3 linked regions of the Ovis aries genome follow. The protein of the gene in region 1 interacts with the protein of each later gene in a biochemical or structural test. Links are inferred from orthologs where the notes say so. Each region holds a gene or a part of one and is shown on either strand. Other genes may lie near its edges. The genes, in order: PRKCB, RASGRP3 and RACK1.

Region 1 (3,649 bases):
CATCACTCCCACAATGTTCTTAGGTTGTGGTTGCCTCCTGTAGCTACTGAACACAGAGATTTCATGCAAATGGGTTTGCTGGTGAAGAAGGAGGAAGATCAGGCCTAGTGACTCAACTCTTCTCGTTAGATGGGAACTGGTGTGTGCATGTGTATGTGCTCACGCACGAGTGAACACATGCACACACACACACACACACACACACGTGCACGCGCGTTATCCCTCTAACTCAGACCAGGACCTTGTCATAGAGAAGGACAGCAGGAGGCATGAGAAATGGTGATGGTTTCTTCTCGAGAGCTTGGGGAGATCCCAGGCACTGGGTTGGCTTTCATCCACACCCTTCATTCCCATCTGGAGGGAGAATGGCTGCATTTATTTCCTGGTGCCTTGTAATTAAGGGTCAATGACTTCTCCTTCCAACCAGGGCCTCGTAGTGGCCCCGCCATTGCATCCACCAAACCCAGGTCTGGATGTTTCTCTCCATTAACTGGAGCATGTAAACTCTTGTATTTCTGGAGTTGGAGAATGTCTCCAGAGATGACTGAGAGCCAAAGGACAGCACTTTAAGAGACCTGCGGCTTAATGTTGGGAATCTCCGAGGTGAAGTATAAATGGGTCATTACTTTGAATCTTGTACCACAAAAATATCTCAGGGACCTTAATCCCATCTCCTCCAGGAATGAGGTTGGCCAGCTTCTTGGGGTGGAGTTGGGAGAACATGCCACATGCTACCATCCCCACCATCCCATGCTGCCATCCAGCTCCTGACTGCCCAGAAGGACACCACGGGCAGCTCATGAGCTACAGGAACTGAAGGTCGGGAGCCCAAGGTCACCTGCCGATCCGTGGTCATGAGAATTTTGCATTTTATGTTGCTCTCATTTCTGATCATCGAAACAATCTCTCCGAGGTAGTGAAAGGGAAGGGCTTCGAAAAGCCGCACCCAGTTTCGTTTGGTTCTGTTCTGTTTTCAGTTTCGTTTAGTTTATTTTTTCCACCCACCACAAATTCTTCTCTTCCCCTCTCATAGTGTGGGCGAAATGCTGAAAACTTCGACCGATTTTTCACCCGCCATCCACCAGTTCTAACACCTCCTGACCAGGAAGTCATCAGGAATATTGACCAATCAGAATTCGAAGGATTTTCCTTTGTTAACTCTGAATTTTTAAAACCTGAAGTCAAGAGCTAAGTAGCTGTGTAGATTTCCGTCCTTCATTTCTGTCATTCAAGCTCAACGGCTATTGTGGTGACATTTTTTGTTTTCCATTGCAAAGTTGCATCCATGTTTTATTTGCTGATGAAACTAGAGTGACCATGTTTCAGGACCCAAATGTCCTCAGGTAGTTTTGGAGCATCTCTGTGAGATGGGATTATGCAGATGGCACGTTGACAATGTGGCTGCATAATCAGCACATTATCAAAGTCCTTGTAGCATTTATTTTCCCCAGCATGTCAGCGATGTAGATCCAGCAGGGACAGAACATGACTGCTTTCTCCCCCTTTTTCCTGCACTGCCATTTTCATCCCTTTTCCAACGCCAAGCATCCAATCTAGATTTTTTTCCTGCCAAACAAGTGGATAATCGGATGTTAGCAGTATTCTCCTGCTTCCAGTCCTGGAGCTTGCCTTGTATCCAAGTAGATGGTTGCTTTGCCTTAGGGGGAATTTCCTCCATTCTTCCTGGTTTGGAGGCCCCAGGAGCTTTGGGGAAAAAACATGCTAAAAATAAAATTTTGGTTTTTTTTTTAACTCAAAAATTAAGAAGATTATCTAAGTCCTTTTAAAATTCCAAGAGTGTGCTTTTAGTAGTTTCAATCTAAGGGCACCTCCAGGAGTCATAAGGCAACCAGCTTGGGTGCTACCTTAATGCTGTAATTTCTGGTTCCCTGTGTCCCCCGATCACCTTCATCCCCAAACTACTTGAACAGGGCATTTGGACTTACTCCCTGGAAAGACATGGTCACTTTAGCAAAGTCCCAAAGGGCCATGGTTTTACATTACATTTCAAAGTTTATTTGCTTTGGGGTTTTATTTCTGTTGTTCAAATGCAAAAAAAAAAAAAAGTTACTCACTTTTGTTACACATGCTTTGAAATACGTGTCCAAATGTTATTAACCACAATGACCTGCTTTGATTTACCGAGAAGACGGCTCTAGAGCCTGGCAGACCCATGCCTGCTCGGATGGGATTTGTCTAGGTTTGTTGCTGGCTTCGGAAAGCTAATTAAGTGCTCTGAGAAAGATACCATGTCTTGAAAACATAGACAGTTGTATTCTTCACTTTGATGTTGTTTTGCAAGATGTTTGTGGAAATGTTTGTATCTGGATACCTGTTATGTGCCATTTTTCTTCTAGCATCGAGATACAATAAAAAAAAAAAAAAGCAAGAAAAAAGAAGAAATACTATTTCAAGGAAAACGGCTATCTATGAAAAACATGGACCCAAACTGCAGAATGGGGCCTCCTGAGGCTTCAGGACAGAAAAAATTAAAGCCAGATCTTAATCTTGGCCCCAGTGTTCAGCCAGTCAGAGAGACTGAAACTGTGGATCATTTAGAGACTCCTGGGGGCCTTTGATGGGGTGGGATGAGCTGGCTGGGGGGTTCTCCAATGAGATCAGAGCTCAAGGCTCAGATTCTCACCAGAGGCAAGTTTAGGGGCCAGCTAGGAGCAGGGCTGGGGCTGTTGAATTTGTTATCAAAATCACTACGCCTCTCAGCTCAGACTCATCCTTTCTAGCAAATAGCTTCATGAGCCCCCAGAAGCCCAGGGAAACCCCTTGATTGGGGAAATTCCGTTTCCCTCTGAGCAGAGGACAGCAGGTGGTCCCCCATCCCGCCTCCTGTCCCCCGCTGTCCTCAGGCAGCCCTGAAGGCAACTTTTGTCACAAGTCAAGTGATTTCCACAAGCGCCAGGGCTTCTAAGAGACCATCAAGGGAACTTAAAATACTTGACAAGTGTCCTTTAGGGGAGACTTCTCATCTTTAAGAAAATTGTGATTTGATTTCCACTTGGGCAAAGCCCCCTGCTGTTCACTCCTTTCTGCCTGCTCTCGTCTCCTTGCTGGGGGCTTGGGGACCATCCCTGTGGCCACTGTTGTGGGTCACAATCTAGACGTCAGGGGAAGCAGACTCGAAGCCCTAGCTCTCAGGCTTAGGAGGTAAGAGAAGGAGGAAAACTAGGGAAGAGCCTTCTCATTGTATTGTTGGGAAACTGGCATCAGGAGGGAGGAAGTGACTTGCCCAAAGTCAGCCAGTTGGAATGCAAACCCAGTTTCCTGAATCTCCATACAGGTCTCCCTCCTCTGTGACTGCCGTCTCTGAGCCATGCCCACCAACAGACAGGTTATTTGAAGTCTTTCATCTGGCTGTTGGGTCACCAAGCCTTTACTTGGATATACTCTCAGGAAGATTAAAATCAAGGAGAAACATTGGGCCATCGACAAGTCATGAGAGACAACTTTAGAGAACTACGTAGGATGAGTGAATAGATATAAATAAATAGGTAGATAGAGATAAATAGATATAAATAGAAAGAATATACTGTGTGTGTGTATATATATATATGTATTATATTTACTGCACTCTACATTTTCCAAATTGCTGACATTATTTTTCAAAAGTTTAATAGTTTCCAGAAGTAGATAC
Region 2 (3,649 bases), on another chromosome or scaffold:
GACAATAGGAGGTTATAGCCATACCTCCTGGAAAAACAGAATAGAAGTGACAGCAAGCGTTCAATACAAATGCTTTTAAACCCCATTAACATATTGTAGTTGTAAATATTCAAAAAATATGTATTTGGTGCTTACTATGTGATCAGTATTATGAAATACATGAAGGTTATAAGGCAAATAAGACAGATATCATTCCTATTATCCACTCCTCAAATGAAGTCATTGAACACTTGCTCTCTTCATAGCACTGGATTCAACATGGGGGAAGATACAAAAGAAGAGGGAGGGGACCGAAAGAAATCTTTTGTATAGAAAGCCTTCATTTATAGCTGAGTTTCCAGGAACAAAAATAATTTAAAGCAATGATTGTTTCCCAAACTGAACTTTTTCCAGACCACAATTAAATATTTCCTTATGAAGCAAAAAAGAACATTTCATCCTTATGAAAATATTTCTCTGTAAAAGTGTACTTTGCTGTATCATTAAGGACCCTTTCAGCTATAAGTTAAAAAAAAAATCTTGAAATTGTCTAAATAATAAGGAAATGGATTGTGTCACATACCTGGAAAGTCCAGTGGCAAGGCCAAGTCCATGCATGGGCTGATCAGAACTCTGGCTCAATTGCTCTGAATTCCGCTTAGTGTGAGGTTGTTGTTTTTGGTTTTCATCGGACTGATTTCCCTCCTGACTGGGTTGTCTGCAACAGTGGAAAAATTTTGCTCTTTTGTTTATGAAAGTTGGAGGTAGGGAAAACCCCTCTTTAGCTTTGTCCTCATGGAATAAAGGCCTTCTTTTTTTAGGCAGATTGGACCATCTCAAATCACACGCCCACCCCTGGGCCAATAACAGTATCCAGAGGAATGCAACATGTTGATTGGCTTAACTCTTATTCCTGAACCAATCATAAATCAAGGGGATGAAATTATGATGATGGTAGATCAGAACCTATGCTTGGACTTGGGCATGGAAACAGCTCCATCTGAGACACATGGGAAAGAGTATACTAGTCACCTTAGGGTCTATTAGGAAGGTCTGGTTGCTGTTAGACAACCAACAATAACTTGTTCATATGAACAGGAGAATTTAAGACACAGAAGCACTGCTGACTGACCTCAAACACTGTACTCATTTCAAGTATAAAGGGGCTCATTATGTGTTTCATTTTCCTTTAGATTAGTACTGAATTTCCAGTAGAGAGCAAAACATGTTTTAAATGTGAAAATAAGAACTCAATGGAAAAAAAATTGAAAAAAAAAGATAATTCAATGGAGGCTCATAGAGGCTTGGAACCACCAGTGTATACTGAAAAATTTTTTATTCAAACTCCTCTTTCTTGCAGAAAAAGAAAGCTAATGTCCCTAAAAGTGAAGTGACTTGCTTAAGGTCACCTTCTTACTTAGTGGCAGAGTCCAAAACCACAGCTATCTCACCCATCAATATGACTGTTCCTGCCCCTGTCCCTGTCCTGTCCCCTTCAAGTTATATCTCAAATGCAACTTTCTTGGAACTAGGAAATTTTAATATACTGCATATGTTAATATAATATATGCTTATTTTTCGGATTGTAATATTTCCATGAATTATTAAATACTTATATACTGATGCCATTTAACATCTCAACATCCCTAGTAGGTAGGCAGAGGTGTGGGCTATTTCTAGTTTGTAGCAGAATGGAACAGGCTGTGCAATTCATAGTCAGGTTTTCTAACTTTCTTTTTCCTGGTTAGTATCTCCCTGCATCAATGTTGGTGCAATCCATACTTCTCTTGGTAGCAGAGGAATTTCCTAGCCACACACTGTTGGGCCTGGTGGTGGGCAGAAGGGAAGGCCGTCTGAAAAATCTATTTTTCCATCTGTTCCCCAGAACTGGAATGAAATGACGGAACTGGTCTCCTCCAACGGCAATTACTGTAATTACCGCAAGGCTTTTGCCGACTGTGACGGCTTCAAAATCCCAATCCTTGGCGTCCACTTGAAAGACTTGATAGCAGTCCACGTCATTTTCCCAGACTGGACAGAGGAGAACAAAGTCAACATTGTGAAAATGCACCAGCTCTCCGTTACCCTGAGTGAACTGGTCTCCCTGCAGAATGCCTCCCACCACTTGGAACCCAACCTGGATTTGATCAACTTGCTCACGGTGAGTTCAATGGGCTGGAGCTTGTGCTCCAATAGACTGGAGCTTGAACCTCACCTCCCAGGGGATGCAGGAAGATCCATGCCAGCAGTTCACAATGAGGGCAGGGGAGGGGTTGGATGTGGGGTCAGTGGTTGGGAAGAAATCTCAAAGGAGGAAGGGTGGGGAAGCTACACCTATAACCTGCGTAAATTCAGACTGTTAAATATGGTCTCCAAGCACAGAAAATTCCGTTTGCTTTGAAGGTCCCAGTCTCTGCCCCCACAGCTCTGGTTTCTGGAGTTCTTAGAGAGGCCCCCCAGCTCTGTCCTCAGGGCTTCACAATCCTGCATCACACTAATCTAATTCATCACCCCCTTCGCTATGCCCTCAGCTCACTGGCTTCTCTGGATCCTCACCACATTGCTGTAGCTGAAGCCTGGAGTAAAGCAGGAACCTCCTCCAAGATCTCCCTGCCCCGACTCCCACCAGCCTCCCCAAATCACCAGAGGCACTTCCCAGTCTGGCCCTGGAGGCCCTTCCAGACTTGCTTTCTGACTCTTAGTCTCTCCTCGTTTCTGATCACCTGATCCTGCATCACACCTGCCTTTGAGGAGTATGGGGCTTACACTTTCCACCAGTAATTGCTGCCTTCTACTTTCTGGCTACTGCATTTTCTTGGAAAATTCTTTCCTTACCCCTCCATCCCACTCCCTACCCTGCATCCCATGACTAGCTTAAATTTAAATGCCTCTCTCTTTATTTAGATGTTCTCAGGGAGCATTCTGTTTCCCTCCAAAGCAGTAATGCATCTGACACCTGTGTTGCCCTTGCACTTTGTACTTTCTTATCTATAGGAGGTACCACTTGACATTAGATTTTTTTTTTCCTGTCTACTTGCCTTATGCATTGCATGTCCCCAGCACCTTTCATAGTACCTGGCATATGTAGGGGCTCAACAGATGAACTGAATGCTATAATTAGGAATGATGTCGGTTGGAAGAAATTAACCCACTTCTCATCATTTTGGGCATTAGTGGCACACACAGTTAGCTGGTCTCTAGGTCCTAGCACTTTTAGATACACAGGTGTGTAGAAGAGAATATTTCCCATTGGCTGCTTCTTTGTCAGGGGGGAAAGAGGCATAAGCAAATTCTCTCAGCTTAGCTGAAACAAGTGGAGGAGTAACTTCCTTGTTTGGGTTTATGACACTGTAACATTTGAAACTTGGCTGCAATACTGAATTAACTACTTCCTTCCAATGGCCATAGGAAATGAAAACAACAATCCCTCTGAAGCTCTGAAGGGCTAAATCCTCTAGGGCTGCTGCACTGGAACAAGAGTATGGTTCCTAGACCTTCTCACCCACTGTTCCTAGAACACATAATTGTCTACCAAAGAGTTGACCCCCTAGGTGTAGGCAATAATGGCAGCTGCCTTCTTCGTATAAAGCAGAAGTGGTCAACACACAGAAACACAAATCTCTTGGGGTTCAGATTGTGTGACAAATAATAAACACACAGACATTCTCAC
Region 3 (4,238 bases), on another chromosome or scaffold:
CACATCTGAGTAGCCATAGCCCGTAGAAGCTTTGCCACTGTCCCACACTGTTCCTTCCCAAAGGCAGGCCTTCTAGCAGCCTGCAAGGCCCTCTGTCAACTGCCACCCCCACCCCCATTGCATTGGTTTGGTCCCCAGGGCCTTCAACGCTCCAGCTCTGAACTTTGGCACTGATTCTTTCCTCGGATTGGAACATCCACCCATAAATCCCGAAAGATCTCTCCTATATCTTTCTTTGCTAAAAATCTCCCCCTTGAGCTCTTTTCCCCCATCTCATTGGATGTAAACTCAAAAAACAAAGAAACAGGTCCCTTTTAACCTGTTCACAGCTATGTTCCCAAGACCTAAAATTGCGTCTGGTAACCAAGAGGTGCTCACTAAGTTCTGTGCATTTGCTTTGCCAGGGGTCTCTCTGGGTGTTTTACCTATCTAATATACTCTCCACACCGTGTGAGGTAGGTACTATTATTCCCAATCTCATTTCATGAGAAAATAATACACGTGACAAACAGAAAAGAAATACTTGGGCACGTCTAGACACCCAGACCCAAGGACCTTTTTATGAGGTGGTTTTGCCCGAGCCAACCTTCCTCTTGAAGCCTTTCAGTTTCTGCGAGAGCTCTCCACGCTCCTGCTTAGGCGGGAGCGGGGTTTATTGTCCAGCAGCCCACAGACTAACTTATCCTTCATTCCCGGTTTTCCTCTCTGTAACCCATTCCTGCCTTAGTCCTGGGTGGACTGTCTTTCTTCACCCAACACCATTAGTGAATAAACCTCTTGAGGGAAGAGTCGCCGCCCGCGCATGGAATTTGTTAGGGTTTAACAGTTCACCTGAACGCAGCTTACTTTGAAATTTTAATATAGTATTATTCACATCGCCCACCGTTACTCACAATTGTGCCCATGAAATTAAGCTCCCTCTGCGATGCCCTCCGAGCCACCAAGCGGAAAGGGAGGGGTTCAGACTGTGCCACGTAAGGCCAGTGAAGCCACTAGGCTCCCCTTACTAAGCTCTGGGGCGTGTACTTCCTCTCTGACGCTTTTGAGACATCATTCCCCTACCATAAGGAGCCTTTTTAAATACTCAGTCATGTTGGTTTAATAAGGGAATTTGTACGGTGCTACCAAATTACGTTGTACGACGGTCTGGACCAGAAGTCTTCTTTTATCTCTCCCTTTGAACTACATGGCGCTGCCACCTTGAGCAGAAGTGAATTATGGGAGGGCGCCATTTCGTTCGAGAGGGCGGGTATTTCCGGATCCGGCGTGGGCGGTTCTCTCTTTTCCTCTGCAGGGCCGCGGTGGAAGCGGTTGTGCGGGTCGCCTCTCTGAGTTATCCAGTTCCATCCTTGTCGCTCCGGCGACACCCGCACTCTCCGTCGCCATGACTGAACAGATGACCCTTCGTGGCACCCTCAAGGGCCACAACGGCTGGGTGACCCAGATCGCTACCACTCCCCAGTTCCCGGACATGATATTGTCCGCCTCTCGAGGTACGGGCTGAGGTGCTGGATTAAGGGGCAGGGGTCGTTGCGCGCGTCACATGGTTGGGCCGGTGGGCTGTGAGTTGACCTGTGCCTAGGCCTCATCGCGGATGAACCGGTGATGCGTCCCCGACTTGGCGAGCCCCGAAACAGCTGGCTGCCGGGAGGGTTGCAAGGCTGGGGCCTTTCTAATCGCTACCTCTCAAACCCGTGTATGTATCTGTGGGCCCAGGAGCCTTCGGGTCGGGCGGCGCCGTGATGATCCCAACATGCCATCTGAGTGCCTATGCTGAAACCCAGAGGCTGTTTCTGAGCTGCTGCCCGGACCCTCTGCTCATTAAAAAGTGGACTCCAAGGCGGACCTCGTGTCTAGTCTCTCGGCTATTTCGGGGCAGCCCTTTCTTCCCCCTTTTTTTTTCCTTCTCATTCTCTCTGTACCTGACTGCATTTGGAGACTTCTTGGCGATTGCTTTTGCGTTCACGCTATTTAAAAATAGTTCATCTGAGGCTACAATCATGTATGGCACTTACTAGGAAAGTTTATTCAGTGGAACACATTGCAGTGAAAGCATCCAGTCCTTAGCGCCTAAAGTGGATTTTCTATTGCTAGTATTTCTTGCATCCTTTAGCAGTAGTTTCAGGAGGCCCACAGCTACTCTTCCATATCCAGCCTGCTGTGTGCATGCATTCTGGAAGTGAAGTCACTCAGTCGTCTCCGACTTTTTGCAGCCCCATGGACTGTAGCCTACCAGGCTCCTCAGTTCTTGGGATTTTCCCAAGCAAGGGTACTGTAGTGGGTTGCCATTTCCTTCTCCAGGAGATCTTCCCTACCCAGGGATTCAACCCAGGTCTCCTGCATTGCAGGCAAATGCTTTACCATCTGAGCTACTAGGGAAGCCCAATAAATAGATGTGGAATCGTTTTAGATTTTCGAAAGGGGCATCCATAACCTGGTAAAGTTTCACACACCTGAGTTAAATTCTCAGGGTGCAACTTAGCTCTGCTTGACTCTTGACTAAAGTTACTTGGACTTGGCTAATAACTACTCTCAGCCTTTAGGTAGTTTCCCTACCCCTAAATGCCCTTGGTTTATGATCCAGAAGGTCAGATGGTGAGCCGTGGGGTTTTTTCACTGGGTCTTTTTTTTTGTTTGTTTTGTTTTAACCTGCCCTTAGATAAGACCATCATTATGTGGAAGCTGACCAGAGATGAGACCAACTATGGTATCCCACAGCGTGCTCTTCGGGGTCACTCCCACTTTGTTAGTGATGTGGTCATTTCCTCAGATGGCCAGTTTGCCCTCTCAGGCTCCTGGGATGGAACCCTTCGCCTTTGGGATCTCACAACGCAAGTAGCTGCTCTGGGGCACTGGGGGAAAGCTGGGTAGAAAGCAGGTAGATACCATCAGGTTTCCCAGGGTAGTGATTGGGTACTTGAGTGGGAACTGTAAGGCACAGTACCTGGAGAAGATATTTGTGGTGGTTCGGCCTCCCTCCCCGTTGCTTTTAATTAGATACACAGAATTGCTGAAGAGTGGTCTGTTTTAGCAGTTTTATCAGATACTGCACTTGGGACTAGACAACATGTTTGAACATACTGTATATTGGGAGCTCAGTCTTGGGTGGTCAGGCATAATGGAGGATCCTGGTGATGACAGATGACATTGTCAGCCAATCCCCACATGGGAGTGAGGACATGTCCTGCAATTCTGAAGGGATTCTCTGGCATATTCTCGGCCAAGGGCCTGCCGTTTATCAAAGCCATGTCCAGGGTGGTGTGGGTAACGCAGCTCCATTGGGTGAGGAATTGGGCCAGGGAAACAGCCTGACTGGAAGAATGTTTGCAGTCTTTCTAGAGAGTAACCAAGTCCTCCTTCTCAGGGGCACCACCACTCGCCGATTTGTAGGCCATACCAAAGATGTGCTGAGTGTGGCCTTCTCTTCTGACAACCGGCAAATTGTCTCTGGCTCCCGAGACAAAACCATCAAACTATGGAATACTCTGGGTGTATGCAAATATACTGTCCAGGTAAAGTAAAGGCACATGCAGGGAGCATATGTTGAACATTTCCCCCATCCTTCTTAACTGGTGCTTTTATATGGTGATTTTAAGCCTCGTCTGGAACCTAAAGGGATTCTATCTTATCTTAAAGGTTTGGGTTCTGGAAGTGTGAATACAGGTTGTCAACATACTGAATATATATCCCACATAACTGAGCGGGGAGGGTGGGGTCTCGAGTTTCATAAGACGAGACAGTTTCTCCTTATTTCCTTTCCATCCTCTGCAGGATGAAAGCCATTCAGAGTGGGTGTCTTGTGTCCGCTTCTCGCCCAACAGCAGCAATCCCATTATTGTTTCCTGTGGCTGGGACAAGCTGGTCAAGGTGAGCTTGGAGCCAGGGCGTGAGGCCTTTACCAACCAGAATGTGTTCCCACTACCTCCCAGTTGGTCATAATCAACTTTGAATCAGCTTTGTCCCTTAACTGACCGTAAGTGGCCAAGATTAATAATTCTTGGACTTTTTTGTCACTGATAGAATGGAAATTGGCTCTCCTATCCAGGGATGCCTTTTAAGCATGGTGCCATGCCTTTTTTTGACCTTGATAGATCCAGAGCCCAGGTTCTTCACCTTTGACCCACAATTTTAGGTATGGAACTTGGCAAATTGTAAGCTGAAGACCAATCACATCGGCCACACAGGCTACCTGAACACTGTGACCGTCTCTCCAGATGGATCCCTCTGTGCTTCTGGAG

Evidence for each region.
Region 2: of the proteins of PRKCB (region 1) and RASGRP3, one has a biochemical effect on the other in vitro, tested with the Homo sapiens proteins (2 studies listed by BioGRID). The link is inferred for Ovis aries from reciprocal best matches to the Homo sapiens genes PRKCB and RASGRP3.
Region 3: the proteins of PRKCB (region 1) and RACK1 form a complex in vitro, tested with the Homo sapiens proteins (2 studies listed by BioGRID). The link is inferred for Ovis aries from reciprocal best matches to the Homo sapiens genes PRKCB and RACK1.

The regions. Positions count from the first base shown.
Region 1 is NC_056077.1:22,416,697-22,420,345, forward strand, and holds part of PRKCB (protein kinase C beta type), read left to right. Parts: intron 1-1,033; coding exon 1,034-1,192; 3' UTR 1,193-3,649. UniProt on the Homo sapiens protein: Calcium-activated, phospholipid- and diacylglycerol (DAG)-dependent serine/threonine-protein kinase involved in various cellular processes such as regulation of the B-cell receptor (BCR) signalosome, oxidative stress-induced apoptosis, androgen receptor-dependent transcription regulation, insulin signaling and endothelial cells proliferation.
Region 2 is NC_056056.1:90,420,231-90,423,879, reverse strand, and holds part of RASGRP3 (ras guanyl-releasing protein 3), read left to right. Parts: intron 1-1,864; coding exon 1,865-2,140; intron 2,141-3,649. UniProt on the Homo sapiens protein: Guanine nucleotide exchange factor (GEF) for Ras and Rap1.
Region 3 is NC_056058.1:38,114,142-38,118,379, reverse strand, and holds the start of RACK1 (small ribosomal subunit protein RACK1), read left to right. Parts: upstream 1-1,318; 5' UTR 1,319-1,384; coding exon 1,385-1,493; intron 1,494-1,733; exon of another isoform or gene 1,734-1,801; intron 1,802-2,659; coding exon 2,660-2,831; intron 2,832-3,124; exon of another isoform or gene 3,125-3,203; intron 3,204-3,364; coding exon 3,365-3,512; intron 3,513-3,771; coding exon 3,772-3,867; intron 3,868-4,132; coding exon 4,133-4,238. UniProt on the Homo sapiens protein: Scaffolding protein involved in the recruitment, assembly and/or regulation of a variety of signaling molecules. Interacts with a wide variety of proteins and plays a role in many cellular processes.